Linked DNA regions of Caenorhabditis elegans. The protein of the gene in region 1 purifies or fractionates together with the protein of each later gene. This does not show direct contact. Each region holds a gene or a part of one and is shown on either strand. Other genes may lie near its edges.

Region 1 (7,667 bases):
TAAGTGAGTCTTTCAAAAAGAATAATCTAATTTCAAAAATAGGAATGTGCGGTAAACATAGTTTTACCTAAGGCTTCAATGAGGTCGTCGCAACGACGCATGTGCTGGCTTCGCATGGCTTTACCCACACCTCATTTATAGTGCGGCGCGGAACCCCGAACGTGTCGGCCGCTTTCAGACAACTACGTTGCGCATTTCGCTGCACACACACACAGGACTTAAGCGCGCGGCTAAAGGCCGTCATGAGGCCCGCATTTTCCGCCTCACTTAGCTAAGAGACCTAGTTTTACCAAGGTTAAAAAAGTTGACAATTCATACTTAAAGAGTTTTTGCAATCGGCAAAATTATGGTTCTTTGTCGATTTTCTCGATTACAGATTCTACTTACCCCGCCCCCAAAAGTCAGCAGTCCTATGCGGCATAACTGTGATAACTGGTAAAGAAGATGCCAAAGACACTGCTCAGAACATGGAGGAAGAAATACATCTAACACCCTCTGTCAGAAGGAACCATGATGATTATTACTACGACGAGTCGTCTGGACCAGCAAATGAAGAAAACTAGGAAAATATTAAACTAATTTAATGATGCAAAACATTGCTAGATCACGATTCTACATAATTTCACTTCAGGAACTTCCATGTTTTTCACAAAAATCATCATTTTTTCCATGTCACCTTATTCCAATATATTTATGTATCGATATGAATTCACTCAAACTCTGATTCTCGTTTTTTGTACAACAAGTTCTCAGAAATGAAACTTCTTTATTACAATGTTAAAATTTAAAAAAAATCATAAAACAATTACTCAAGAATTATATACCCGTTGAAACCTCCCGACTCGTCTGATCATCTTTCACTGATAGTGACGCTATTGTACATCAAGTAAATGACGTAACCTCCAAATGCGACTCCGACAAGCTGAACAATTAGTTGAAACGATAAAAGAAGACGCATGTTGTGCTTTGGTACTTACCGCTAAAAGTAATACAAAAATCCGTTCTTCTAAATTTCGAAGACCAACAGTTCGTTTTTCAGTGTCCACGTCATAACCTGAAACTAGTTCTGACTATTTAAAATTTAATTAATAAATACTAAAAAAATCAATTAGTGGCTTCATTTCAAACTTGAAAGTTAAAAAATGGAATTGTGGATAACCACAAATGTGATCAATTTAAAAAATTTTATATTTAATTTTATTCATCTAGAATAGTTCTCCCATTACTGCAGGCAACACTAATTTCCGGGCTCTTTTCAAATCCAGTACTAGCAGAGACGGCAGCACTAATTTTTAGAAAATATTTCAAAGGTAGGATACCGAAATTTGAGACTTGCTTTTTTTAGACCCAAAATGGTCCAAAACTACCAAATTTCGTAATGAGACGTTCTGAAAATTTCTCAAAAAAGTTTTGCCCGCTTAAAATTTTGTCTCAAACTTCGGTACTCCACCTTTAAGGTGCGACACGATAGAGACTATACTAGTAAGTCCAAACAAGATCTTTTTTAATAAAGAAGAATTTTTGTTGCCTTTTTTTAAATTTCAATTCGACACAAATTACGATTTTTACTCTTTCGCGTAAAAGATCACTTACGATTAATCTGATCAAAGGCAAATAAATCTCAATCTAACCACTTGTTAAATAATCAAATAGCATCAAATATCAAACTGTGTATGTTTAGTATTGTTGAATTTGAAACAAATGCTCCGAAAATCAAACTATAAAAAATTTTGTTCTGACAAATTTGTTCTGTGAGCAAAAAAATTTAAAACCACGTTTGAGCCTTAAAAGTGTAGAAAAAAAGTTGCAAAAAATGATGAAACTATTTTTGTAAAATGAAATGGTTTTTTGAACAAAAGGAATATATTTGGATGGGTCACGCAAAAAACGCGAAGCACATTTTAATTTTCAAATGCGGAGTACGACGACGTAAAAAACGACGAATAAAACTGTTTCTACGGTGTTAAAAATATAAAATATCATAATATATCATTTCAAAACTTTTTGAAACCTTTTACTATGATGTTTGGCCATTTTAGCGGTACTCCAATTTTGATATTTTTATAGTCACTAAACGGAAAAAATTAACATAATTTGTTTATCTTCACGTTTACGACTTACCAGAAGGTCTATTCATTATTAACAAACTATAGAACAAAAGTGCAGGTGCTACCTTAGTTCTGTGTAGAATACGAAACCAAAATGATAGCCAGTCGCTTTATTTTAAGAGGGGCGGAGAAGGATCTCCCAGAGTCGAATGAATCAAATGTCAATATGGACAACCTGCGTATCTCGGTTTGTGATGACTTGTCTCTCTTCACTACCGTACTTGTTGGCAACTAACATGACATCTAAAGAGTCGGCAGAGTCTGAGCAAGAAGAGGGAGAGCACAAACAAATATGACAAGAAAAAAACGTCTGTCCTATATTGAGCAGTCTTTCAAATGAGTATTCGCGCGTTCTGACTCGTCGTGGGCGGAATTCCAGTGAATCGGTTTCGGTTTTGATCGGAATGTCACGTATTTGAATTAGAACAAACAATACTTTAGTAACAACTATGTGAAAAATGAAGGCAAATGAGAGTTAATTCATCAATTAATGTAAGAGTGATATGACGATTTTAAGCATTGATTTCAGTTTCCCATTTGTGCACCAATGTGTTGAACTTCCATTCGTCTGGGTGTCCGACGTGGTTGACCTTGTCTTTCTGGAAAAAAAACCATTACAGAAACGTCATTTCTGACAAAAAAAAACAAAAACAGCTCTTAGGATTGTTTGCACCATTTGTTTGCAAAAATGTGGTGGCCAAACATCTTGATGATTATTGAATCTTGATGCAATACTTAAAACTCTCAAAACTTACAAAGTCAAACTCAGACCACTTGAAAGATGGAACCTTGCCCCATGTTGGCCCTCCTTGTGCGACAAATTGCAACTTCTTCATCAACTCAACATTTGTACCCTATAAAATACGAATTGCCTTCGACATTTTCCAACACTGTATACCTTGTAATCAAGAGCTCCGTGGTTAACGTGTCCTTGTCCTGGGAACTCGTATGTTCCATTAGCTGGATTCAAATCTCCACGAGCAGAAATGCCAGCTTCAGCAGAGTATGGTGGGTTGCACTTGCACTTGGAGAATTCATCATTCTTATAGTCGTTGTATCTCATGAGAGCAGTGAGCGAATCCAAGTCGTGAACATTGCCATGATCTCTTTCAAAGATCTTTGCTCTGGGAGATGCTCCCCATTTGAACCAGTCTCCCATCTTAGCGGCTTGTCCGATAAATCCGGAAATTTCAGTGATCTCCTTGAAGAATGGAATGTTGTAGGACGGGAAATACGAGTACTTCTCGACGAACCAGGTCAGATCGGAGTAAACAATCTTTCCACTGAAAATATACTGTTCAGTGTTATTGTTTCCGGTACACTTACGGCATTTGTTCCAAGACGTAGAAAAGTCCATTCTTTGGAAGTGGCTGATTTGGCTTGAACTTCTTGTAGTCAAGAACTGCCCATTGGTTATTGTAGGTTCCGGAGTTGTACAAAGAGTAGAGTTTGCACCATTCTCTAGCGTCACGAGCAAGTTGGTTGGAGACAATAGCTCGGATCCATGTTGGAAGTTGGCCGACTGGCTTTGTATTCTCGAAAAGAGAAGTGTTGAAGACACTGATAGTGGTTTCGATGACAGCCTGAAATGGGGTGATAAGAATTGCAAATTTTGATGTAAACATGCCAATCCAGAAGTTTGAAGTGCAAAGTCGTCTGATGAGTACAAAAGACCTGGGTACGAGGAGAAGGATGAAGCGTATCCTGGGTAGAACTGACGGTCTGAAAAATCAATTTTTTTTCTTGTTTGAAAAAACCTTCTTCTACAAACCATATCCAAACTTGTAAAGCTTAATAACTCTGAGCATATTTTGGAATCCTGACATTGTTACTTGAGAGATGAAAAGATCTGCATTTCCTGGAGCGACCTTGATCAATCCGGAGCACTTTCCACCGGTTTGCTCAAAAGCTGGATCTCTGGTCTTGTTCAATTTCTTCTCCAAATCATAGAAATCTCCGTTCAAGTTCAAATAGAGAATCGGGTGAAGCTCGTAGGTAATTCTTGGCTTGAACTCGCGTCCTTCATAGGCATCAATAAGTCCAGAAACTTGGTGGTAGGTTCTGTTGACAGCTCCCCAGTAGAGATCATCCGGGGCGACGGTCTCCAAACTGCTTTGAATCCATTTTTGGTTCTCAGTGAGGAAGTCTGAGAGTCTGGAACAATATCCAGTGAAGTTCTTGCAATAATCTTCCTGAGCATTCTTGAGATGGTAGGTGAGCACTGTCTTGGAAAGTAGTCCTTCAAGATATCCAGCAGAGTAGGCTTGAAGTTGTGGGCAGTAGTTCTCCTTGGTTTCGACTTCCAGGAAAGTCCAGCTAGAAATTGAGAAGGTTAAGTTGGAAAACTCATTAGTACTAAAGTTTTAAATATTTGAAAAATGAAAATCTATTCAGATTATGTATATTTATGCCATTAATTTTGTTTATAATTTTGTGAAGACCATTTAGTTTAAAATTAAATTTTAAAAATATTTAAAACTTTATCGCATATCAGTCCCTCTCCCCTAATGAAGCAAGTTCTATACAAATACCCAAAAAGAAATTACTGATAAGATCTTGGTTAGATAGCTGACAATTTTTCTGATCACTGGTCTCCTCTTCAAACAATCTACACTTTAGACTTGTTCAAACTGACCCAGTTGTGTTCACAGCGTTTTGCCATCTGGCGACAGCAACTTGGTTGCGGCAGTCGAATCCTGTCAAATTATACCAACTAAATAGAAAATCCTCAGTATAAAACTTACCATCAAGAACTTGAGGCTTATCGTCCACTATGCAAAGTTGCTTGTAAGTGTAGCTCTCATCGCGTCCTTCCGAGCTTTGAGAAGCTACAACAGTGGCTAGCAGTAAGCCAATAAACACTGAAATATTAAAAGTTAATAATTAGAAATTTTAAAATTTTAAAATTTAAATAATTAATTTAGGACTTACCATTCATCTCGAATGTGCTGTGGAGCAAACTGCCGAGGTAGTAGAATACCGAGTGTAAGCTTCTTATCAAAAATTGTTTCTTACTTCTTATCAGTCTTGTCATCTTTCTCTATGTTTCATTAATATGCTCTTATCATTTTGATTTTAGATTGGCGATCGGCGTCGAAAAATTGAGGAGACCTGGACAAGAATTTAACAAAATCATAGGCTGAAAAAAACTTTTAAACTTTTATTCAAATCAATTTCAAAGCACTTTCTTTTTGGACTTGTAGTAGGAAGGAGAACGGGAGAAAGATGGAGCACACGTGGTTAAATTCGAGTTGAGAATTGTGAAATTTAGAGATCTTTGGTATGAAGATTGAACATCTCGCGAGTGACAAAGCCGAGTCCATCAGTTGGCAGAGGACTTGGGATGAAGCAAGAAATGGCAATGAATGGCCACCGGGAGCCGAGCGATTGGTGGAGGTTTTCAAGGAGTCCGAGCTGGTATGCGTGAACGTCCTGAAAATTGGATTTATATTTGTTTGAGATTTTATGTTGCAGTTAAGGTGACTTCCTCACAGACCAAACGGAAGTCTTCTAGGCAGAAAGATATCGAAAAAATTTTTGTATTGGAAGAAAAGAAAAATGTTATGCGACATTCGAGATGCCGGCCGAATTTGATGTTTGAGCAAAATATTAAAAGCAGTAAAATCTAGATTCGATACATTCGAGCTAATGGGGTTATTCAAGTAATGTATCAAAATGTATTTAAATACATTTGTGACGTCACAAATGTATCTAAATACATGTTTTTAAAAAAGGTAAAAGGTGTATACTTGAATACAGTTGTGACGTAATTGTTCTACACTTTTTAATTTTCCGACATTACTTGAATAACCCCATAAAGTGAAACAGTATTACAAAAATCGTCACCATTTGATCTATTATTTTCTGCTATAATAATTTAAAACATTTAAAAATTATTTTCAATTGTACATATAGCTCACCATCAAAAACTCGATTCTTGTCTGTCCCTGATAAATGCAGAAAACTTGAGCAGTCAGCAGGTAAAAAGTGAACAGCGAAACGGTGAAGGTGAAGACAAATAGAAGGACGTGGAGGAATTGGTAGATTGAGATGTATCCGGCGATCCAGGCAAGATGGGGAATGACCACTTGCCAAATGTTTCCGAAGCCGATTTCGTTCGTCATTTTGATATTGAGAAGGCTCCATGAGTAGGAGACTAGTGGCAGAGTCATAATGAAGAGGTTGATGACTGCGGCGACAAAGTATCTGAATATTGTGAATAAACGTTTTAATTTGCAGTAATATTAATTATGTATACTGTTGGTCTAATATTATAGTATCGTGACTTTACTCAGCATCTCGCCATAATTTTCTGTCAAGCTTTGCTTTTGAAAGTGACAGAAAAGTGACTAATTGCGGTGGAAATTTTACAACTATTTTTATTTTTCATTATATAATTTAGAACATTCTTCAATTGCTAGTAAAATTCATATAAGACAAACCTCTGATTAAAATGCCCGACGCAAACTGCCCCGAACGAACAATGGTGGTCACGGCGAAGGATGCACACGTCACAAACTGAAAAAAAGTGTTTTTTTCGTCATTTGAAAAAAGTATATTTTCACTGTACTTACCTGGACAGTGATGAGCTCTTAGTGGAGACATGGAATGACAACTGTGGCAGTGTCTGAAATTTTCAAAATTGGCTTTTATTATTTATAAAATCTAGCTTAATACTTATATATAATAGTTAAAACTCACTTGTATCCGGGTTTGATGACATTTGGGAGAGCAGAATGATGTCCATTTGGGCCCGTCTTAATCATGTACACCCAGTTTGAATATAAGTTGAACACCAGTACACCAAAACACGTTGCACGAATGACCCATGCTTCTCCCATAACTGGATACCAGGTTGGAAGGACGTAGAGGAGATGGAGCAGGATTCCACACGGGAGAAGTATCAGAAAAATGAATGTGGCAATCTGTAATTTGGATAACTGATGAGTTTTAAAGCATTCTACGACAATACTCATCTTGGTTTTTTTTATTTCTATAAGCCTGGCTGAAAGTTACGAATTTGGGTACCGTGAATGGGATGATGAAGCTGGATTTGAAGTTTTTTTTGTGGAAATTCGAAATTGGTATTGCCAAAAAAAAAGTTTATTTCATGAACTTTATTCAACTTTTGGTTTTTGTAAAAAAACTCAATAACTTTATTACAGCTTTAGAAAATTGAGATGTTGAGCTGGCATTCAATTAATAAATAAAAAAATTTCAGAAAAAAGTTATTGTATTATATGTTCAGCGGAGCTTTTTTCTTCCTTAAATTGACTAATAAAAATTGAGCCTATTCTATAGTAATTGGTAATTTTTCTTACATTCTTTTTTTTTCCTAAGATTTAATTTCCATTCACCTTGCTCAACAATTATTTTTTACATATTTTAAAAAATAACTCACAATATCCTGAATTTGCGTTGGCATCATCCTTTGTAGCTTTTTGTTAAAATCGACATTCTCACCGTCGTCATATAACATCTGCATTTTTATTTTATTCTGAAAAATAGCAAAAATTAAATAAGGAGAAAATTTGAATGAAATGTAAAGTTGAAGTAAGA
Region 2 (6,764 bases), 8.9 Mb from region 1:
TTGAGAATAATAAAGTTCATTTGGTTTTTTTGTTCGAAAAGAAAACACAAAACACTGCATCAGACAGAAAGTCAACCAACTAATAACATGTTTAAATAAATTTTCGAACATGAATTCTCAGAATGTAAGTATACATTTTTATTATCAACAGATTTCAATCATTATCTGAATAGAAAAACATATAATCAACCGATGAGAAACTTGGCGACCACTCCCACGCAATGACTCACTCAATAAGTGTTGACTTTTCAGGCTGGCTCACGTGTTTTAATGAGAAAAACCTTTGTGGGTTGCAGCAAAGAACAGGTGAATATTTTCGGAAATGAGGGATTATTAAAAAACTTAAACAAACTTAATTTATTCCTTCTTGAATAAAATAATTTGAAGTCGGATTGAAATGAAAAAGGGATTAGAAAGCTTTACATTCCATATGAAAATTTTATTTTTTATGTCTTTTTTTCATTTTTAATGAGATATTTGAAACTAAATGTAACAAAGGTTGGTTATCATTGGTGGAAAAATGAATACAAACGACATAAAAAGACAATGTAAATGTATCTAGCCCAAAATGTATGCAATATTTTATTAAGTTTTATGAGCGGAATATGAGTATTTTACGGTCATAAAAGTAGATGAAAATGATTCTGAAATAACTCTCCAACTTATGCTATAATTAATTAAGGAATAAAATGTATTGTATCAATTTGCTACTTTGATAGCTAAAATTGACACAATATGCTTCTGTTCGAAAGTTTTTGGAAGATTCAGCAATACGAAGTCTGTAAAAACATTTCAAATTAATTTTAAACTACTTTGTTAATTTACAAATTTTCCCACATCGTTATTCGGGATGATGTACCAATTGAAAAATTGAGTACTTGAAACCTTCGACTAAATTTTGTAGTAATCTTTATAGATATTTTGATTTCAATTTTTTGTATGATCTATACATTTTCCATACTCTATTATTTTTTTAACAGTTTTCCAGTTGAGACTTAAGTCTTTCTAAGTTCTTTCAAAATGGGAAAACTAGTTGAGCATCTTTGGTAACGCCGAACTATTGCTATTTTTTTAAAAGTTATTAGTTCAGATACATAATTTCGAAACACCATGATTCATTTCCAGTGCTGTACAAATTGAAAATGCGTCAGAACTGTGTACAAAAATAGGGACTCATACAGAAAAATGTATCTATAATTTGAATCATATCTATTCCGGGCTTGCAATGGATCTCCGATGTACTATACAATTCAGAAATTATGAGATCTATTTTCGGAAAGTGTTGATTTCATAATTTGTACAGCAGCCTGTTGATTATTATTTTGCCGGTTTTTCGTTTTTGCTTCATAAACCGACAATGGAAAAACCGAGCCACAATGTGTGCACACAGCTCCAAACGATTGATGTGTGTGTCGTCAAAAAACATGAGTCAATGAGCCGAGCAGTAAATAAGTGAAGCTGCTCAAATAACTGTACATCACTTTCGTAATCCTGAATTCAATTGAATTGATGATTTACGCTTGGATATTTGGTACACGTCAGATAACAAATTTTGCAGAAAAAAAAACTCCCATTGTTCTATGAGACAATATGGGGGATTTTGAATTTCAAACGGGACTGCAGTTTCTGTAAAGAAAAAGAAAACAAAGGAGCAGCAATTCGCATCAAAAACAAACAAACTGACCAACGGTGAAAAATACTCTCGATTTACAAAAATAGGGGATCGGTTGAAGAACGTTTTAAATTGAAGTATAGTTATTCAAATCTGGTAGATCACCCATGCTCACCCATGAATTATTTATGAAAAATCATTAGTTCGGTTATTATTATGCTCATTATTGTAAAACTGCATAAACGACCAAAGTTGATGCTTCCAAAAAAATACAAGTGAATGTTCAGGTAATTGTGAGCACAGTTTGCACGAGTGATTTGTAAATTATCAACACGTTTTCTTTAATATCGTCATCGGAAACAAGATAGTATTATAAAAATCATTCATGGTAATTTTTATTTTCACACGGCAGGCTGGGTGTTGTTCAACTGAATATGTCTAAACATGGCAATGAACTTGTTTTCGTCAAGTTGTGTCTTCAAGCTTATCTCTCAAATATAAATCCCCAATACCGCCTGAGATGTTCATAGTCTTAGAACATCAAACTCAGGTTTTAATGTATATGCCTCAAGCTTCAGGCTGCAGTCTAAAGTTTTACAGTCTTGATAGACCAGCGTAATTTTTGCCCATTCGGAAATGTTTCACCGAAGCCTTTTTGGGACTTTTGAATGCAGCAAGAACTGGAGGAATCAAATAGAATCAAACAGATTTTCTTGTTACTGAGGGAACCTGTTTTCTCAAATTATGCTTTTTGTTTTTTTTTTTTTTAATTTAATTATGCAGCCCAAGCTGCTTGGCGTCATCGGTAGAGGCCCGCCATTGGATGGTTGTCGGCTTGATTCGGCGGCCGATATAGATGCGCTCATTAACAACTTCGAGTTGAGATATAATGGAGGATCCATTAACGTAGGAAGTACTGGACTCTGAAAATTCATTGCGCGAGGCTTGCCCATTTTCTCAGCTTATCCCACTTATCGTCTTGAAATCTACTGGAACCAATTTCGTATATATTATTTGAGCAGTTGACTGGAAGTAAGTTGTTGATTTGCGACGAGCTAAATACCATCTGAAAATTCACGGCTAGTTTGAGTTCTGTCCAGGTATGATTTTGTAATCTTTGGTTTCAGTTTTTATAAGGCATTTTGAAAACAAGCTGAAATAATTTTTGAAAAAAAAATAGATTTTCTAACCAATTTATTTTGACCCATGACCGTGACTTGAATTTGCAGAATTAAATACCAGAACTCTACGCCCATGTTTCAGAAAACCACACCGATGCGTTTATCTGAAGTCGAAAAGTTTCTGAAAATTTTGTTAAATAATTATGTATTTAACTCTCTAATGTATTTAACATAATTTGATTTTATAAAAATACTTTGTCTTTTTCCTCGAAAATCTTATGGTTTCAGAGAACTCAAAATATGTGCGTGTTATACCATTCATTGTAAGCACACTTCCAACTAAATAAATTTAAATTTGAAAGTGATATTAATTTTTTTTAATTTTTCGTTTTCAGAAAACTGACAATTATATTTCTTTCAAAACAGTTAGAAACACAACGTTTCAGAATCGAATAATTGAATTAACGTAATTGCTAAACAAATATCGTGCATATCATTTTTCAATAACCAACTCCAGTAAAGATTAAGGTCGAAACCCAATTTATTAAAAGTTCCCATTCTCAGAAAAAAAACAGGCTACAAATAAAAATGAGATAAAGCATACTGCCATTCTACAACCGGAGAATAAGAAAACCGAAAACGAGAAAATTATTCTATTATGACAGATAGAATAAGTTAAAATGGGAAGAGTGCATTTGTCACTGATTTACTTGGTGACTTGGTGGAGAGCGTGGGCAAGGTAAGCGACATTGTTCGATGAAATTCCCGCCACCGAGATACGTCCGTCCTTGGTGAGGTAGACAGAGTGTTCCTTGATAAGCTTCTCAACTTGTTGTGGGTTGATTCCAGTAAAGCAGAACATTCCAATTTGGTTGGTAATGTGCTCCCAATTACGAGTAGATCCCTCCTTGGCGAGCAAATCCTTGAGCGTAGTTCTCATGGTGATGATACGATCAGCCATGAGCTTGACATCTCCGAGCCATTGCTTGTTGAGAGCTGGATCCGCGAGGATGCGGGAAGCAATGCGAGCTCCATGGACTGGTGGGTTGGAGTAGAGTGGGCGAATAAGGATCTTGACTTGAGAAGCAACACGAGCAGCCTCATCAGCGTCCGAGGTAACAACGGAGAAAGCACCGACTCGTTCACCTTAAACAGAATAAATTATAAAAATTATGCAGTATTCAGGGTTAGGGCTACAAAAGGGTAGAAAAGATAGGATAATGCGACACCAGTGATATCCGCGTTATCATGGCCTAACTTCCAACACCAAGAAGAAACTGCGCTCTATTGCACAAAAACAATACATTTCGTATTGAACTCCAGCTTGTAAAATTCAAATTTAACAAATTAGTATGTAAACTCACCATAAAGTCCCATGTTCTTGGCAAAGGATTGAGAGAGAACAATGTTGTGTCCTTGCTCGACAAAGTAACGAACAGCGAACGCGTCATTGTCAACATCTCCGGAAGCGAAACCTTGGTAAGCCATATCGAAGAAGACAAACAAGTTGCGTTTCTTCACAATGTCGGAGATCTTCTTCCACTGGTCACGGGATGGATCAACTCCAGTTGGGTTGTGAGCACAAGCGTGAAGCAAGATTGTGGATCCTTCCGGGATTTGAGCAATGTCAGCGAGTGCTCCAGTTTCATCAAAACCACAGGTGGACTTGTCATAATAGCGGTATTGCTTGACATCGACTCCGGCAAATTTGAAGATTGGAACATGGTTTCCCCAAGTTGGTGTTGGCTGGTAGATAACCTTGGTCTTGGCGTACTTAGAAAGGAACTCAGATCCGATTCTAAGGGCTCCAGTTCCAGAAATGCTCTGAGTGGTGAAGATTCTCTTGTTCTTGATCACATCAGAGTTCTCTCCAAGAGCGAGTTGAGCAGAGAGCTTGGTGAACTCGGGAAGTCCTGCAAACAAATAAAGAGTTCAAATGGATCAATAAGTTTATAACACTCACCAACAATTCCGGCGTACTCCTTATCAAGATTGGCAGCGATCACTTGACGTTCAGCTTCCTTGACCGATGGGAGAACAAATGGCTTTCCTTGATCGTCACGGTAAGCTCCGACTCCAAGGTTGATCTTCTTTGGGTTTGAATCGGCTTTGAAGGCCTCGGTGACTCCAAGAATCGCATCTGGTGGTCCCATCTCAACATGCGACCACCACGACTTTCCTCGCACGGCGGTAGAGAAAAGCTTCTTGGAAACGCTCATTGTTGATTGGAGAAAGATTACCTGAATATTCAATATTAATGTTTCGAGTGGGAACTTAAAAGACGTTTTGAAAGTAGGCGTGGAAATCACGTTCCGATTAGAATGAAGCAACGAAACATTGATAGCAGGGAAGACTAGAGTACGTACAACGCATGATTCCTTATCCGAAGAAACAAAAATAAAATAAAACGTGGGTATCATTATCTTTACCAGGACAATTATTTGAGTGTTCAATGGTGTTTGAATGGGCTGATTGGACACTTTTTTTAAATTCAAAAAAGATACCCTAGGACACTCCATTCAGGGTACTAACCACATTTCTAGCCTTTAGCAACGGCGTGGCATCAAACTAGGCTAAAATTGTAGTTAAACTTATTGACTCTATCAAAAACAACTGATGTGAAACAACAAAATGGACCGACTGCACCGCCTATGAAAGAATGGACGCGTCTGCTCATCTTATCCCAGTCCACGAACTGGCAAGGAAGACGACAAGTGAGAAGAACTGGAGAAACTAGGTTAGAGAGTACGGAGATTCGAGAGAGTGTAGGGTGGCAGAGGAAAACTCGGGCGGCCGCGGCAACGTGAGAAACATGCGGTTCGACGATTCAGTCGTTTTTGTGTAACTCGGCGCTCGAGAACTGGTAAACAGTAAGTAAACTGCGTTCGAAAAAAAATATAAGAAAATCGCCGTACTTCGGTCGTGAAATTATTTGTTTAAATAATATAATTTTTTAAACTTTTCTATTAGCAGCACCGTGTTCGCAAAAAAAAATCTCAAAGAATTTTTGATGAACGGAAAAAAAGCGACTAATGACTGTAAAAAGGCAAGGAAAAACTGAGGCCAACAAGATAAATGAAAAAAAATTTGGTTGTTGTTGTGGTTCGTCACTCTCAAAGGTTCGATATTGTCCGCGCGCGGCCGGAGAACACAGGTTGGTAGGTCAAAAGTGCTGGTGGCACACGGATATTGGAAGTCTTAAAATTCAAGATGGTGTCTTACTTCAAAAATTGAATTTGGGATAGCAAAAAAAAATAAATTTAAAGTACAGAAAAAATATAAAACATAGAAAAAAGTTAATGAAAAATGGTTTTTATATTAACGTTTGGACGTTTGGAAAACCGCTCAAAATTGTGTGAAGAATTTCGGATATATTCTGGAAAGGAATCCACCAAAGTGTTGGAGTTTTTTCCCGTCATTTTCAAAGATTAGGACAATTTTTGAGTTTTTTTTTCGATTGTTCCAAATAAAAGGAAAATGATTTTCAGATAAAGCAACCAGTTTTCTATAATCTTTAACTAAGGTATAATTTTTATTTTTTGTTGAATTGCTTGTCGGAAATTATAGCGCATCCACGGTCGATAAAATAAAATGTAAATTGTAAGATGGTTTAAAAAATTTTTCTAACATCTGGAAACAAAAACGTTTACAACTGAACTGCCTGTGAGTATAGTGTTATCATTTTGGATTACCTCTTGTGAGCAAACTTCAATACATTCAATTCTGATAAACAAAACCTAGCACACGTCACACTAACCTGTAGTGTTCAGATAGAGTTTTTTGAAAATTACTTTTAGATTGTCGCCCGAATTTTGTGTAATTCACTTTGTGTTACAAATTTACAAATTGTTCAACATTTGTGTGACTTTCACGTGGACATCCGTAAACATTTTGAGTCCTTTGTTTCTCTCAATTTTTCTCTCGATTTGAGTGCAAAATGATTTTTGCGATAAATATGAAAGAAACTCCAAATTTTGCCTAGCCTAGAGAAAAGGATCTATTGTCTCCGGGAGGTTTCGTATCGCGGAATC
Region 3 (8,064 bases), on another chromosome or scaffold:
TACACTTGCGCAAAACATGTCTCGTTTTGTTAAACTAAACAACTCGAAGCACACACACAAATGGATGACGTTAAATATGATGATTAATTGTATCGTCCAGCATTGTTTAGTGCTTCTCACGGTCAGCCTCGAATCCAACTCCTGGAACAAATTGCTCCGCCTTGTTGTGGAACAATGAGTGATTTCCATCGGACCATGGGAATGGCTGAAATTGAATATTTATTAGGAATGCATTTTCAGAATGGATTGATTGATTTTCAAGAAAAAAATGTTGGCGATTCTAAATTGCAAAAAAGTAGGAAAGTTTTTGCTAAAATCTTTAATTTTGTCAACTTTTCTGTGTTGCAAACGTCGGAAATGAGTATTTATTTTATTATCATCCTTTTTTCATGTTTTGGTTGTTAATTTTACGTTATTCCGTCGATTTAGGTCAATTTTAGTCTGATAGACCAAAACAATAATTCAATAAAACTGTATTCCAGCAGCTGCAACTAGAACATGTTGGCTAAATTGGAGATTTAGCTAAAATTTTTCTTACTCTTTTTTTGAAATTTTTAACCATCTTGGGAATTTATTGAGACCAATCGTTTTTTTTAATTACTGAGAAAACGCCAAATTATAAAATTGTATAATCATTTAAAAGCTTGATTGTAGAAATTAAAATTCCAAAAAAGCGACTGTTTTTTTTTTAATTCGTTTTGAATATTATTAAACTTCACAGTCATCCTTTTTAGTTTGAAAAATGCCAGAAAGATGACATTTTTAAACAGTTTGCCGATAACTTCTTTAATGAGGAAGACATGAAAGCTAAATAACATTTTTTAAGTAAAATTTTAAACTATGGCAGATTTCAAGATAAAAACGAATATTTTACCTTGTTGCGAACGTTCAAGAAGGCGTACTCGACGTGCTCTGGGCGTTCGTGGCTCATGTGTTTTTTGTGATCCTTGAAGGCGGCATACATGGTAAGAGCCAAGCATGGAATCGAAGCAATGAAGAAGATTTTCTTCCAGGTCTCGCTAGCATCTGAAAAATATATTTTAATCTTTGAACATCAAAATAGAAACTATTTATTTTAAAAAAAAACACTTACTGTGAGCTTGCTTGAGTGGAGTGACATATGACTCTTTGAATCCTTCGACATTGTTGGATCCGTAAAATGATCCTGAGGATTTGCGTTGGAAGGTCTTGACGACCGAGCGGGTAGCTGGTTGAGCGAGACGGTTCATGTCGGATACCTTTAAAATTTGAAATGAAGTTGAGATTTGTGAGAAAAACGGAACGCGGGGGGAGAAGGAGGGGGAACAAACTTGTTTACGTGAAAATTGAGAAAAAAAGAGAAAAATCAGGTGATTTGATGAAAAAGTACAAAATTGTGATTTTTAAATCAGAAAAAGCAATAAAACAAACTCACAAAATAAAAACAAATGAGGTTTTTCTTACGTCTTAAGAAACCTAATAATTGCTATGAAGAATTTTAGAAATTTAAACCCGACAATAATGATTGAATGACATGGTTGAACACTTGCAGATTTGAATTCGAAAAAGTGGAATTTCTAGTCGAACAATATCGATTTACGGCTGCGGTTTATATGCTATTGTGGTTAAAAAATTCATAATTTGTAATTTAATCATTTGAAACTCAAAAATAATCAATAAAAGCACTGTTTGTGAAGTAAAACCACAGAAACGCACGTTTCCTCAAGAGAAAATAACGGAGAGGCCGTCTTCGCTGCGAGACCAGCCGGTGAAATGGCGTGCGCCTTTAAGGTGTGTGAAATAATTGTGCTGCAACATGCTGTCTAATTTGCCTATTATCTCCGTTAGAAATGCTTCAAATTTTCTGAAACTTTGTTACCTGTTAAAACATGACATGTAGAACGAACACATAAAAAATTATTAATATCGATTCATTGGCTAAAAAGTTATTGACGGAAATAAGTATCAAGTTTTGGTTCGATTCTTGCCCTTTTTGAGTTGCTTGACGGAGAATTGCGGAACCCACGAGATGTCTGCCGCCTTGCAGGTGGCCACTATATAAGCAACAACTGGTCCTGGCTGTCTCGTTCTTCCGAGAACATATACTAAAATTGGAACAATACAGAGAAGATTAGCATGGCCCCTGCGCAAGGATGACACGCAAATTCGTGAAGCGTTCCAAATTTTTTTTAAAATTTCGCGTAACCTACCGGAAGCTCGTAAAATTTTTGCCTTTTGAAGATTTTACGACTGATCCTCTAATGTACAGAGTAATAATTCGTTTGTCCTGAATCAATCAATTCACAAAGAAGTCGAGACTTTTATGAGTCGTCCTGTAGGTGTCTATTTCTTTCAGAATTCTTTTTCAATATATGTGAAAAATAGATAAATACAACACGTATATTAAGAGCAATAAACATTTTTCAAAAAAAAAAGCAAAAGGAACAAAAATTACAGGGAAAGCGAAAATTCAAGAAATTTATGAGTTCTTCTGTGGAACCTTGATGGTGACAGTCTTTACTTCAGTGTATGCCTCAAGACCATATTCTCCGAGTTCGCGACCGATTCCTAAAAGAAAAAGTATTTTTTAACTTTGGCATGGAGAAATTTTAATAATAAATTAGCTTACCGGACTGCTTGAATCCTCCGAATGGAGCAGCAGCATCGAACACATCGTAACAATTAACCCAGACAGATCCAGCTCTGGTTGCGTTGGCAATATGAAGTGCCTTATCAATATCCTTAGTCATAACTCCAGCAGCCAATCCATAAATAGTGTTATTAGCCTTTTCAACTAATTCTTCCATTGTGTCGAATCTAATGATAGTCATAACAGGTCCAAAGATTTCTTCTTGAGCAATAGTCATCTGATCCTTAACATTAGCGAAGATAGTTGGCTTCACAAAGTGTCCTTGATCTCCGTGTTTGGCTCCTCCAGTCACCAATTGAGCTCCATCCTTCTTTCCAGCAGCGATATATTTTAAAATAGTCTCAACCTGCTTTCCGTCAACTTGTGGTCCTTGAGTAGTTTTCAAATCAAATGGATCTCCGATAACAGCCTTCTCGGCCAATTCCTTGGAACGAGCTACGAAATCATCATAGATCTTTCCTTCGACAAATGTTCTGGATCCGGCACAACAGCACTGTCCTTGATTGAAGAAGAGTCCGTGGTTGGCTTGATGAACGGAATCATTGAGATCAGCGTCAGCGAAAATGATGTTTGGTGATTTTCCTCCGAGTTCCAAAGTGACCTTCTTGACATTCGATTCTGCAGCAGCCTTCATAACAAGTCTTCCAACTTCAGTTGATCCAGTAAAAGCGACTTTGTCAACATCCATGTGCGACGAAATAGCTTGTCCGGCAGTATGTCCGTATCCTGGAATTTATTTATTTGAGAAACTCACAATTTTTACAAAACTGACCTGGAATGATATTAACCACTCCATCTGGGAATCCAGCTTCTTTTGTGAGAGCAGCCACGTGAAGGGCTGAAAGTGGAGTCTGTTCGGCGACCTTCATAACGACTGTGTTTCCCATAGCCAACGCTGGTCCAAGTTTCCAAGCTTGCATAAGAAGTGGGAAGTTCCATGGAATAATCTGTCCGCAGACTCCCACCGGTTCGTGACGAGTGTAAGTGAAGTAGTCACCCTCGATTGGAATAGTCTTTCCGTGATTCTTGTCAGCCCATCCGGCGTAATAACTGTAATAAAGTTATTTTTTAATGTTAGCCATTTTTCCTTTTTTTACAATAAATTTTAATTTTTCTCATCAATACAAACAAAATTTGATTCAAAAAATTGCATTTTTTGGCTGTTAATTTTCTAAACAGTTTTTTTTGATTTACGGTTGTCCGGACAATCAAAAATTTTTGTTTTTCGATTTTTTTCTCTCATAAAATTGAGAATTCGAAATTATTTTTGTAGATCTCTTTGCTCATTTGGCAGTAAAGTTTTTCGTTTTTTCTGAGTTTTCTTCTTAATTACAGACTATTTTGGGATTTTTTTACAGCAAAATTCTCCAATTTATGCTATTCGAACTCACCGAAGAGTCTTGATAGAAAGTGGCAGATCAGCATTGTAAGCAACTGCATATGGCTTTCCATTATCCAAAGATTCCAAAGATGCCAAAATAACTCGATCTCTCTCCATTAAATCAGCTAGTCTATTCAGAAGAACTCCACGTTGAGAAGCATCCATTCGTCTCCACTCACTGCCGATACGGAATGCATTTTGAGCAGCCTAGAAAAGTTTGAAGATTGCTTTAAAATTCGAATTTAGATTTAAACCTTGACAGCGATATTGACATCTGTTTTATCTCCTTCTGCGACTTGAGCCAAAACTTTTCCGTTGGCTGGATTGATAGTCTCAAAAGTCTTTCCAGACTTGGCTGGCACAAATTCATTGTTGATGAAGATCTGGAAATTTAGATATAAACTTTTTTGAAATTTGAATCCCTGATTTGGAGAAGTATCACATTTCGTCCTAATTCTGCCCTCTAAGTTTATTTTCTCAAATCCGATCATCGTTCAGTTTTGATTGCCCTATCTCACTGTTGACCGAGTTCATTGTTCATTTCGTTCTCCACCTCAGGCGACCACGTTTTCCCTATGAGATAGTATCAGCTCTCTTCTTTTTCTTTTTATTATCATCATTTTAAATTGATCGTACTCTGTGTACTAGGTACACAACAGAGCACAACGTTGAGGGCACGTGGTTCCGTTGAAATAATGTAATGAAAACATGAGAAGAGAACATTTTTGCAGCAGAAAAACAGATCAAAAGGTTCAAATTCATCTTTTTGGTTTCTGTTGCAGTTTCTGATAACGGCGGTTTCAAAGCGCACGTAATGTGATGTTCTTGTAACTTTGAATTTCGCGGAAAATACGGATTTTTGAGAAAAACCAATAAGATTCGATGCACAATTTCCACTTTTGTTTTCTTTTTCTTTAAACACAAATTACTTGAAAATCAACGTTTTTAGAAATTGGCGATCCAATGGGCTCCGTAATTTTTTCTTTCAAAATTCAAATTAGAGTCTCTCTCAACATTGTCTCCATTTTCAAGGTTATCCTGTGTGATTCCTATCTTTTTTGCAATTTTTTTAAAACAACGTTCTGAGAAACTTACGCCGGTGTATTGTGGTTTCATGTTGGAAAGACCTGGTGGAACACCGGAGGCATTTCGTGCCTGAACTGTTGCCCGGAGAGCTGAACGGAGCATTCTGAAAATAAAAATTATAAAGGATTTACCCGAATAAGGCAAGATTTTAAAGAAATTAGAAAGAGGACGCAAAATAAAAATTTACAGGTGAATGAGGTTAGATATTGTGAGTTCACAGCAGCTCGTTTCTTCATAGAACATTTTAAATTTTAATTAAATAGAAAATAAACTAGTTCCAGTGGTAATTCGGAAACATCGAATCAGTATATCTAAAAACTGTGGCAAAAAGTGAATATCAGTATTGCAGAGACTTCTGACAAAATTATTCAAAATCGATTAACTAATCTTCTTCCAAAAATTCAACTCTAAACAAAATAGAGAAAACTAAAGATTAGATATGAAAAGAATGGACAAACACGCCAGCCTCGATGGTTAGGGTCGAAATAGATAAGAGAACACTGAGCGATGGTTGAAAAGTGACAGAGGAGGAGTCAAAAAGGCGGAGATGCAGAGAACTGCACACACAAATATACTTCAACGAAACATCTTCGAAAACAAAAAGATGAAGAAGCACGTGCTCGAATAGAACCAGCACAAAATAATGAGAATTTTTTGGAGTCCTGAAGAATAGTCAAGTATTGCACAACATGATTTAACCCTTGACCATTTAATATTTCCATGTCGAGATGGGATCTTTGGAAATGATGATAAATGAAAAACTTTGGAAAGATTGAACGACAGAGACAGGAATAGTTTCAGCAGAAATCAACTACAAAATTAAGAATTATCAAATATAAACAGAGTGGTTAACAACAAGATTCATCGTTAGTCCTGCCTAAAACCAGCAGAAAATAAACAAACGTGCAAGCATTTCAGCTGAGATTTGTTTTTATTGACAGATATAACTTAATTCTGAGAGGAAACGCGATCTTAATTCAAACGGAAGATAAACATTCAGGAAAATATTCTCAAACTGCGAGAAAATCCGAAAAAAAGAGCTAAAAATGTTTTTAAAATAGAAAGAAACTTCGAAACTGGCGCGGTGCCCTTGCTCAACAGAGCGCGCTTGGTGGCGAGACACTACGAACCTTTAGAAACTCTACTCCAGAGAAAGCAGTTACAAAGTCAACACTTGGCTTAATGAAGTAACAAGAAAAAAAGGACGAATGTAACGAAAATCTGAAGTTTTTTTTATCATATCAATTAGGCTTCGGGCTTCAAGAAAAAAATCGTCAGCCGTGGGAATCTTTTGAGAAAATGAAAGCATTCAAGTTTCTCTGCACATGTTTGAAAAATGTCATACAGTTGAATAAAAAAGCATTTCAGCATTTCACAAGCATGAGAAGCACGGGTCGCTTGAAGATTATTGTTTGAAAGTAATGATAATATGTCATAGGTCACAATTTGTATAGGCCACAATATGTCTTAGGTCATAATGGAACATGATTCATAAATGTTAAATAACAGTTGAAAAGAAAGGACTGTAGGATAGAATATTAAATTTTGTTTTCCATAAGAGACTATTGGAGCTGTAAACAAAATTAATGTTAAACTTTAACCAACAATTTCGAAGGTTCATGTTGTCAACAATGAAACCAGATGAATCTTGAAGTGAACAAATGTGTTAATTCTTCCAGTTAAACTTAGAATCCGAAAGATCTATGTTCGTTTTTTTTTTTGAAATCTGCCAAAAGATATTGGACGCCAGAACTTCATTAGCTCTAAGATGATGAACTATTAGGAGGAGCCAACTGTAGTTGAGGATTCATAGTTTTTGTTAATTTAGCAAAACAAAATCATTTTCTAGTCCTTTATTCAAATCTCATATATCTCTAGTTTTCAAGCTTCTTCCCACTTTTAAAGAACAAAATCCACTTCGGCTGGAGTAGGTGGGCCGTTGATTTCAAGAGGATTGGATTGGAAGTAGCGTCCGTCTGGATTCTCCCAAGCTGCAGGTGGAACAGACATCTGGAAGAATGAATTATTCTGAGAACTCAAAGGAAATTCTTACATCAGGCTCCTCATTTTCCCAGTCGAACTTTGAACTTGGAGTGATCTTCTCGTTCTCCATGACTTGCCAGAAACACTTGAAGATCATGCTGAAATTTAAATCGTATAAATGGATAGGAAATATAGAAAACTCACTGATCATCCGGTCTTTGGTAGTAATTGAGGGAAGCCAAATGAGGCATCAATTTATCCATACAAGCTGGCATATCAGACATGACATCCTTTGGCGTCAAGTTCAGCTTCATTTGCTCCACACGTCCGCGTCGATAATCGGTTTGCCATGGGAGTGCCTTTCCGCCGTTGAGCTCAATGATGACGTAGGGCAGTGACCATACATCGTCAACTCGTCCTTGCTCTTTACGGAGATGGACATTCGGAGACGCGTAACGAAAACTCCCACGAAACTCTGCAGAATGACGAGCTATACGTACAATCCATTTATTCTCTCGGGCATGCTGAAATTATTTGTAAATACTATGAAGTTTTAATGCTTAACTTACATAACGAGCGAAAGGTCTTCCAAGACCAAAATCCAAGATGTGAATGATTTTTGCTCTTTCACTATCCTTCTCATTTCCCAAAAATAAGTTTTGTGTATTCACATTACGATGGATGAATCCATTGTAGTGCACATATTTCAATGCATAAACCCATTGAATTCCAACACGGCTCCATGTTCCACGTGAAAATCCTTTGTTCACAACAAAATTCGTTGATTCCAGGTCTTGGAGATTTCTCCCCAATAACGTCATGACCATATAGGAGAAATTCATCTTTTTTCCATATAAGTTTAAGTTTGGGATGTGCGGAGCTGGTCCGTTGGCATTCAGCTTCTTCAGGACATGATCCTGAAATTTTCAGATACGTTTCTTGCTCAGCTGATACGTAGTCGTCTTAAGATAAGGATTTGGCCATA
Region 4 (8,375 bases), on another chromosome or scaffold:
TCTGGATCCCGCGACAAGTCCATCAAGCTGTGGAACACTCTTGCCCAGTGCAAGTACACCATCACTGTACGTTTTTTCAAATTCTTTTATAGGAAGATTTATCGAAACTATTGTTTAGGATGATTGCCACACCGATTGGGTTTCCACCGTTCGTTTCTCTCCATCGAACCGCGATCCAGTGATCGTCTCCGCAGGATGGGACAAGGTTGTCAAGGTCTGGAACCTCGGAAACTGCCGTCTGAAGACCAACCACATCGGTCACACCGGATACGTCAACACCGTTACCGTCTCTCCAGATGGTTCCCTCTGTGCTTCCGGAGGCAAAGACGGACAAGCTATGCTTTGGGACCTCAACGAGGGCAAGCACTTGTACACCCTTCCAGGAAACGACGTCATCAACGCCATGTCCTTCTCTCCAAACAGATACTGGCTCTGCGCCGCTGTCGGATCTTCCATCAAGATCTGGGATCTCGAGGACAAGAAGGAGATCGAGGAGCTCAAGCCAGAAATCGCCAGCTCTGGAAGCTCAAGAGGATCCAGCCCACAGTGTATCTCTTTGGCCTGGTCTCAAGACGGACAAACCCTCTTCGCCGGATACACCGATAACATCATCCGAGTGTACCAGGTGTCGATCCGTGCTTCCAACTAATTTGTTACCTGTTAATTCAAAACCCTTCAATAAAATTGTTGATATAATTTTGTATTCAACCATGTCAGATAAATTATTCGCGTTAATCAAGAATATCTAGCAGATGATAAAACAGCAAGGTATACTTGTTATGTTAGAGATGACGGATCGTAATGAGTTGATCGGTGTTGCAATTCGAGTAGTGGCGGCGGCTGCAGTTTCATTTCTATCAGTGCGCTATCTAGTCAAGTACTTGGATCCAAATTATAGTGTGAATGAAGAAAGCAAAAAGAAGGTTTGTAGATTTACAACACTAATTTTGTTTTTTTAATATACAGGTGGCACAGCTGTTTCATGAACTTGGTATCGATCGTCAAATAGAACTCTCAGAGCACGAAATTAGAATCGCCACGCAGTTTGTTGGCGGAGAAGACGTTGGAGCAGATTGGGATGAGATCGGTAGAACAGAAAATTGTTTCGCAAAAAAAAAGAAAAATTTTACAGGTGGCTGCGAAGAACTTGTTGCTGAACTAAAGGATCGCATTATTTTACCCTTGAGATTCGCATCGCAAAGTGGAAGTCATTTATTGTCTCCTCCACGTGGAATTCTTCTTTATGGACCACCCGGATGTGGAAAAACTCTTTTAGCGAAAGCAGTTGCAAGGGCAGCTGGATGCCGGTTAGTTATTCATAAATGCAGAATTGACCTGTTTTAAATATTGCTACCTTTCAGATTTATCAATCTTCAAGTGTCAAACCTAACTGATAAATGGTACGGAGAGTCTCAAAAACTTGCGGCCGCTGTTTTCTCTGTTGCTCAAAAGTTTCAACCAACAATTATTTTCATTGATGAAATTGATTCGTTCCTCCGAGACAGACAATCTCATGATCACGAATCAACAGCAATGATGAAGGCACAATTCATGACATTATGGGATGGATTTTCTAGTTCTGGAGATCAAATCATTGTTATGGGAGCTACAAATCGTCCACGAGACGTTGATGCTGCTATTCTACGCAGAATGACTGCAAGATTCCAAGTTCCAGTACCAAATGCCAAGCAAAGAAGTCAGATTCTTAATGTGATTCTCAGGAATGAAAAGATCAATAATACTGTAAATCTCGGAGAAATCGCACAGGCAGCAGAAGGTCTTAGTGGAAGTGATTTGAAAGAGGTTCGTGCTTTTTTTCTTTTTAAAATTTTAATCAAATATATTACATCCCCGAAATGGTCGTAATATTATTAGTTCGCTTTGTGGCTATATATGTCACATATATTCTAGTGGAATTCGGTAACGAAATATTTAATATAAATCTGTTCAACATGAAAAATTGTAGACAATAATATATCTTGGATTTCCTATAAAATCCAATACATTTTTAACATGAATTAATAGTGAAACAGCAAATAAGTATATGTGTTTTTATTGAAAACTACGAAAACTCGATTAAACTTTTGCAACAACGAGAGTTTGAAATTACAGTACTCTTTAAAGGTACACACCTTTTCATAGTTAACATAAAATTTCGTGTCGAGAATATTTGGGGCAGAAATCGCAAAGTTTTGCGAGCTTCATGAGAATAAATTGCTGTTTCACAATTAATTCATGTTTCTAATGTGAAAAATGCATTGGATTTTAAAGGAAAAATGTAATTTGTAATATGATAAAATGTAATATAATTGTCTACAGTAACCTTAAAGGAAAAAAAAATACAAATAAAAACATTAGTGAAGAGAATTGTATATATTTAATACAAGTTGTTCTAATAGTGAGCTTGAAAAAACTTACAATTTTGAATTTAATTTTAAAAAAACTCATTTAAATTATTTCAACTTCTTCCAAAATCATCTAAAAATATTTAGAAGTTAGATACACAATAATTAGCTTAAAAAATAATACGCGTTCGAAAATTTTAAGTTTTTATGTTACAGGAAAATGAAACGCCAATAATCGTGTTGTTATGTAATTTTTCAGGTTTGTCGTCTTGCTCTTCTCGCTCGAGCAAAAGCTACTGTAGCTTCTGGAGGTTCCGTAAATCAACTTCTTCCATTGGAACAGTCCGATTTTGAGTCAGCAGTGCATAAATATATGAGAGCCGCACATTTACTTGTTGAAGAAACACTTGATTAGTCTTAAAAGTTCAAGAAACGAATGTTTTATTTCATGTAAACTTCTATTTCTTTTTCTCTAAAAGTAGTCCATTCGTTCTTGTAGGTCTCAATTTATTATACCTTTTTGTAGTATAAAGCTAAAGAAATGTAACGGTGCTTTGACTTAAAATCGAAAATCTTTTTTTTTATTCCCCGGAGCTTCTAGAACAGATTCAAAAACTAATATTTCTGATTCCTGATTTTTTACTTCCCTATTCTTATGTATTGCATTGATTTAATAAGTACGTTTAGATTACCGGTTAGATTGTATTCTCTTTTTCTCTTTTCTTTCACTTGTCGATATCTCCAGAATCTGAAGAAACAATAAATCGATCACGTGACCCCATCTCTTTGTGTCAGTTGTCCTTCCGATTACACCCTTCGTGCTCTGCGAGCCTTTTTCTTTGCACAACGTGGAGCAAGTTTACACCATTCACAGGCTCAATATAAACGTCTTCCATTGGCTTCCAATTTTTCAGTTTACTTCTTCAAACAATTTTCACTAGAAAACGCATTTATTTCCTTCACTAAAAAACATAAGCTCCTCCCCCTGCCTTTCTCTGCGTCTCGTTTGACGCCTAAAAAGAGAAAACGGGAGAAAAAATTATTCGGTTTTCTCCTGCCACTTCAAATTTTACTCTTCTTTCTCTTTGTTTTTTTCAAATCGATTTTCGAATAATTTGAATAGTTTTTTTCAGAAGGAAGAATGCTTCCCAGACTGGCAAAGTCATCTTTAATCCAACAGGGTAAACCAATTAATATATTTTGGATTCAACTGGGATTTATTTAGGAAATAATTTAACATATAATTTTTGATTTTGAAAAACCTAACCTGCAGCTTTTTAGTTCTTCTAGATACATTCATTTTCAACCCTTTTTACTTGCATCTTTGACCTAAAACACATTGAAAAAGAAACAAACAACACTTTTTTGATTCTCTTATCAGTTTATCAGTATCACAAACATTAACGAAGGCAATTGATTTTTCTCGAGTAAAACCGAATAGGGAAAAGATCAGAAAAACTGAACGATAAAATCGAAGTTTTGGTAAATTGGCAGGTATTTTGATATTCACCACATGTTTCAATTTGGAAGATTAAAAAAACAAAATTTTCTGAAATTTTAAAAAAATACTAAAACACTTCAACACCATGAGAATGTTTCCAAAAAATGCTCTGACTCAATTGAAACGTTTATTTTAGTGCGTGGAGTTTCGGCGATTGCAAATGCCGAGCCATCTGGACCTAGTATTTCAACGAGCATTCCTGGACCAAAGTCAAAGGCGTTGAAACAGGAAATGGATAAAGTTCATGTAAGAATTGAGATATCGAAAGTTAAATGGTTTTTTTAAACATCATGGACCTTAAAATACCTTCAAATTGTGATAACTTATTTTTTATATCTATTCTAAATCTTATACGCTCATTATGTATTGGTTTTAGTTTTTGACAATTATTCAGTGGCGAAATCGCTTGAAATTACTTTTCAAACAAAAACTTTGGCTGAACTTTCTGACAACTTGCTCAACAGAAGCTCAACATTGTCAATTTGATTCTAAATTATTAAGAATTATAAGATAGATAAATTATAATTTTAGATTACAAAACATTATTAGCTATTTAATGGTCACACAATTGCGAAGAATTTCGAGCCATTCAGTTCAATTTTCAAATCAAAAACCAACATCTCAACTCCGTAATTACATGAACATCACATTCTTACCCTTATCACAGAACGAATGAAATTCGTCTCAGAAATATTACACTTTCTCTGGTCAACTGACAACTGACATTCAGGAGTTTTGATTATTTGATTTTAGTTTTTTTAATTTCAAATCTTCAATTTCATTGATAATACAAAAAATAAAATAATATTTCAAGGAAATTTAAATTTTATACATATTGTCAAAAATACTGTAGTTATGAAACATATGAATCATTCCAAATGCAATATGAGATTTCAAAATTTTATAAAAATTAAAAAAATTTTTTTTCAGCAAACTACATCCGTTCGTTTCCATGTCGACTACGAGAAATCATTCGGAAATTACGTTGTAGATGCTGATGGTTAGTTTTTATTTTCAGTTTACACACCAGGATTTAATTTAGGAAATGCACTTCTCGATGTCTATACTCAAATATCATCTCTTCCTTTGGGATACAATCATCCAGATTTGGTTAAGGTCGCTTCGCAGCCACATTTGATTGTGAGTTTTTATAAATTGATTTCAAAATCAATTTTTGAACCTCTTACAATCAATTGGAGCATTCGAACTTAGCCTTCCATGTACGCATGAAAATGTTTTACGCCGCATCCGCATTCAGGCACAAATACAGAAATTAGGCGGTAGGCAGTCAGGCAGGCAGGAGGAAGGCACATAATGACCATATTTTCACATTAACCGTACACCTAGAAACCAGTAAAAAATTAAATATTAAGTGATTTGCCTGTCTGTAATATTTGGATAAAACTAAAGAAAACAAGATACTTACTGAAAAGTTGAGAAATGTATTAGAAAATAAATTTTCAGACATCTCTTGTTTCTCGTCCAGCTCTTGGATCCTTCCCACGTACCGACTTTGCTGATGGAATTTCTCATGCTCTTACATCAATTGCTCCAAAAGGATTGAAGGCAGTTCAAACAATGCTTTGCGGTACATCGGCCAACGAGAATGCAATCAAAACTGCATTTATCTGGTATCAAGCTCAGAGAAGAGGAGGTCTTGGACCAGATGCTCTTCATTTGGAAAGCTGCATGAATCAACAGAAACCAGGAACTCCAAATCTTTCAGTTATGGGATTTGAAGGAGCTTTCCATGGAAGATCTTTGTGCATGTTGTCGGTTACCAGAAGTAAGCCAATTCATAAGGTATTTCAAAGTTTTATTTCGAAACAATTCTAATTAATTATTTTCAGGTTGATATTCCAGCATTTGACTGGCCAATTGCCAAGTTCCCCCGTTATAAGTATCCACTTGACCAGAATGTTGCATACAATAAGAAGCAAGATCAGGAGTGTCTTGCTGACGTTGAAGCGAAGATTTCCGAATGGAAACGTCGTGATAATGATGTAGCTGCAATTATTGTTGAACCAATTCAAGCAGAAGGTGGAGATCATTATGGAAGTCCAGCATTCTTCCAAGGCCTCCGTGATATTACTTCTAAACATGGAATTGTATTCATTGTTGATGAAGTTCAAACTGGAGGTGGAGCAACTGGAGATATCTGGGCTCATGATCACTGGAACTTGAGCTCTCCACCAGATATGGTCACATTCTCAAAGAAACTTTTGACAGGAGGATACTTCTACGGAGAACATCTCCGAGTTAAGGAGGCTTACCGTATTTACAACACATGGATGGGAGATCCGACCAAGCTTCTTCTTTTGGAAAAGGCTGTTGAGGTTATTAAGAGAGATGGATTGATTGAGCAGAGCAGAGAAGTTGGAGCTGAATTCCAAAAGAGACTTGGAGAACTTCAAGCATCGTCTGGAGGAAAGTTGGATCAAGCCAGAGGAAGAGGAACTTTTGCCGCCGTTGACTTCCCATCTGGATCTTTGAGAGACAAATTTGTTGACTTGGTAAGCAGAATTAATAGTGATAAATGTCAAATTCAGCCATCTTACATTTATATATTAAATTTCTTAAACTTCAATTTAATTTTAGGCCATCAGCAACGGACTTCACTGTGGAGGATGTGGAGACCGTTCACTTCGTTTCCGTCCATCACTCGTCTACACCAAAAAACATTTGGATCTGACTTTCGATCTTCTCGACAAGACTTTGAAGGGATTGTAATCATTTTTTCTTTTGTTTTCTCTTTAAAGCTGTATCCATTTTATTTGCTTCGCTGACCATCTAGCTTGTTATTATTTCAAAATATAATTAATAAATTAAATATTCATTTATAATGACACCGGAAATTGATTTTTTATTGTTTCTTCTCGGGAAGTTATACTTCGGATCGATTCCAATTGAATTTATAAATTTTTAGACACGTGTTCCTCCGACTAGCTGTGACATCTTTTCATAGATTATCTCGATTTCTTGCTGAAAACAAAATAATTTGGTATTGGAAAATGAGATAATTCGATTTTCACCTTCGAGGCAAAAATACCACACTGAATTTCGGTATACGATGAAAGAACCTGTACCACGTCAACACAACCCGTTGTCTCCAGTTGACACGCTAAAGTTGTGGCTGCACAAATACTGAATGCAAGTGCTGTATCATCTGAATATTCATCAATTTTGTTATAAATATAATATAATTAAAGTTTAAAGTATTTACAGATCATAGTATGTACGTTTCTACGCACACTACCATTTTTAAACTAGAACCAAAGGGGTTTTTATAAACTCCAAATTTGTGTTACAAAATTTTTTTGAACCAAAAATATTGATAGATATCAAGCTATACTCACCATTAAACAAAATAGAAAGTGATAATGTAGAAGTACTATCTGTTGGTGATGGAACACTTGGTGGGTATTTATGAGCCAGAATAAGCAATGGAGCATCATGATAAGTGATCCTCTGTTTTTGAACATTTTCAATTTCCCTCCAAAAATCAGTATCCAAATCTGCTCTTGACACATTCACAATTCGAACACACAGTTGTTGATCATCTTTTTGGAGCAGGACAAAGTTATCTCCGTGTTGAAGTTGAATTTCACCATCGTATATACAACTGGGAAGTTTTCTCCAAAACGAGTCTCGTTGGTTTAGAATCACAATTGTTTGAACTTTTTGTTGCCATGTTAATCTCCAAAGATCTTCACATTCATTACCCCATGATCCGACCATGAATTCATCAGATCTATGGTATCCTGGGAGTGTTATGACGTCTGATTCAATTAGACATCGAGGTTGATGTTTGCAATCACAGATATCCTTGAATAAATACTAAAGTTGAGAGGAGTTAGAAAAATATCTAATACAAACCTCAAATTGCAACTGCATTCTTGTTTTTCCGTTCAAATTTTCTTCGGATAAGTAATGCAGGTATCTCATAAAAAGGTCTGAATGAACTCGTGTGATTCCGTGACGAATCAATTGCCGGATAGCTTCGTGGCAGAAAATATATTGCTCCTGAAATCAGAAGTTTTGATACTAAGATTTCAAAGAAAGTAGATATTCTTACCAAAGTCTGCACCAATTTCGCTCTTTGTCTTCTCATATGTGTCAAATGTCCTTGAACATTGAGTCTTCGGAAACTAATCAAATGCCTTCTCATGCTATCAACAAGGATATATGAACCAGATCTACCAACTCCGGCGCTGAAAATATAAAATTAAAACTAAAATTCTCGGATTTCAGAATAACATACCTGCAATGAACTACAACGGGTCCGGTGGAATGAATATCGGAAGTGTAATGAACAAAGCTTAAAAGTGGGAAAACAGACGAAGGAACTCCATGATCCGGCCATCCCATAAAGTGAAGCTGATGGACTTTCCGTTCAACAGCTGGCACTGCTTTTGCAATTTTCAAATCCAATATTCGATGAGAAAAGTGGGCATTTGTAGATTCTGATACCAAAGTGACCTGATAATTTCCAAAAGTTTGCGGAGAATCCTGTTGTGATGGCCAGTATT

What was found.
Region 2: the proteins of F09B12.3 (region 1) and got-2.2 fractionate together in Caenorhabditis elegans (co-fractionation; one large-scale study listed by BioGRID). This does not show direct contact.
Region 3: the proteins of F09B12.3 (region 1) and alh-1 fractionate together in Caenorhabditis elegans (co-fractionation; one large-scale study listed by BioGRID). This does not show direct contact.
Region 4: the proteins of F09B12.3 (region 1) and gta-1 fractionate together in Caenorhabditis elegans (co-fractionation; one large-scale study listed by BioGRID). This does not show direct contact.

The regions. Positions count from the first base shown.
Region 1 is NC_003284.9:15,092,813-15,100,479, forward strand, and holds F09B12.3 (Putative phospholipase B-like 2), read right to left. Parts: upstream 5,143-7,667; coding exon 5,040-5,142; intron 4,970-5,039; coding exon 4,853-4,969; intron 4,805-4,852; coding exon 4,744-4,804; intron 4,425-4,743; coding exon 3,880-4,424; intron 3,831-3,879; coding exon 3,736-3,830; intron 3,692-3,735; coding exon 3,435-3,691; intron 3,392-3,434; coding exon 3,007-3,391; intron 2,963-3,006; coding exon 2,864-2,962; intron 2,708-2,863; coding exon 2,621-2,707; 3' UTR 2,531-2,620; downstream 1-2,530. Other genes in the region: Serine/threonine-protein kinase flr-4, read left to right, coding at 1-3, 377-563; F09B12.7 (Movement protein), read right to left, coding at 851-922, 978-1,054, 2,122-2,137; dhhc-1 (Palmitoyltransferase), read right to left, coding at 5,376-5,540, 6,029-6,314, 6,551-6,626, 6,683-6,735, 6,810-7,033, 7,510-7,593. UniProt on the Caenorhabditis elegans protein: Putative phospholipase.
Region 2 is NC_003284.9:6,239,192-6,245,955, reverse strand, and holds got-2.2 (Aspartate aminotransferase), read right to left. Parts: upstream 4,974-6,764; 5' UTR 4,953-4,973; coding exon 4,697-4,952; intron 4,647-4,696; coding exon 4,098-4,646; intron 3,880-4,097; coding exon 3,440-3,879; 3' UTR 3,247-3,439; downstream 1-3,246.
Region 3 is NC_003281.10:5,074,900-5,082,963, reverse strand, and holds alh-1 (Aldehyde dehydrogenase domain-containing protein), read right to left. Parts: upstream 5,200-8,064; 5' UTR 5,199-5,199; coding exon 5,106-5,198; intron 4,394-5,105; coding exon 4,265-4,393; exon of another isoform or gene 4,218-4,264; coding exon 4,021-4,217; intron 3,680-4,020; coding exon 3,402-3,679; intron 3,356-3,401; coding exon 2,609-3,355; intron 2,548-2,608; coding exon 2,459-2,547; 3' UTR 2,303-2,458; downstream 1-2,302. Other genes in the region: cox-6A (Cytochrome c oxidase subunit 6A, mitochondrial), read right to left, coding at 107-205, 875-1,026, 1,094-1,229; Inactive tau-tubulin kinase ttbk-6, read right to left, coding at 6,996-7,106, 7,150-7,237, 7,284-7,603, 7,649-7,996.
Region 4 is NC_003282.8:10,177,182-10,185,556, forward strand, and holds gta-1 (putative 4-aminobutyrate aminotransferase, mitochondrial), read left to right. Parts: upstream 1-3,478; 5' UTR 3,479-3,486; coding exon 3,487-3,526; intron 3,527-3,982; coding exon 3,983-4,092; intron 4,093-4,776; coding exon 4,777-4,846; intron 4,847-4,888; coding exon 4,889-4,986; intron 4,987-5,310; coding exon 5,311-5,649; intron 5,650-5,696; coding exon 5,697-6,359; intron 6,360-6,444; coding exon 6,445-6,576; 3' UTR 6,577-6,758; downstream 6,759-8,375. Other genes in the region: rack-1 (Small ribosomal subunit protein RACK1), read left to right, coding at 1-66, 119-649; mspn-1 (Mitochondrial sorting homolog), read left to right, coding at 789-923, 967-1,087, 1,133-1,307, 1,362-1,803, 2,605-2,760; ptrg-1 (Tyrosine-protein phosphatase 4), read right to left, coding at 6,769-6,828, 6,879-7,012, 7,203-7,671, 7,723-7,869, 7,922-8,057, 8,108-8,375.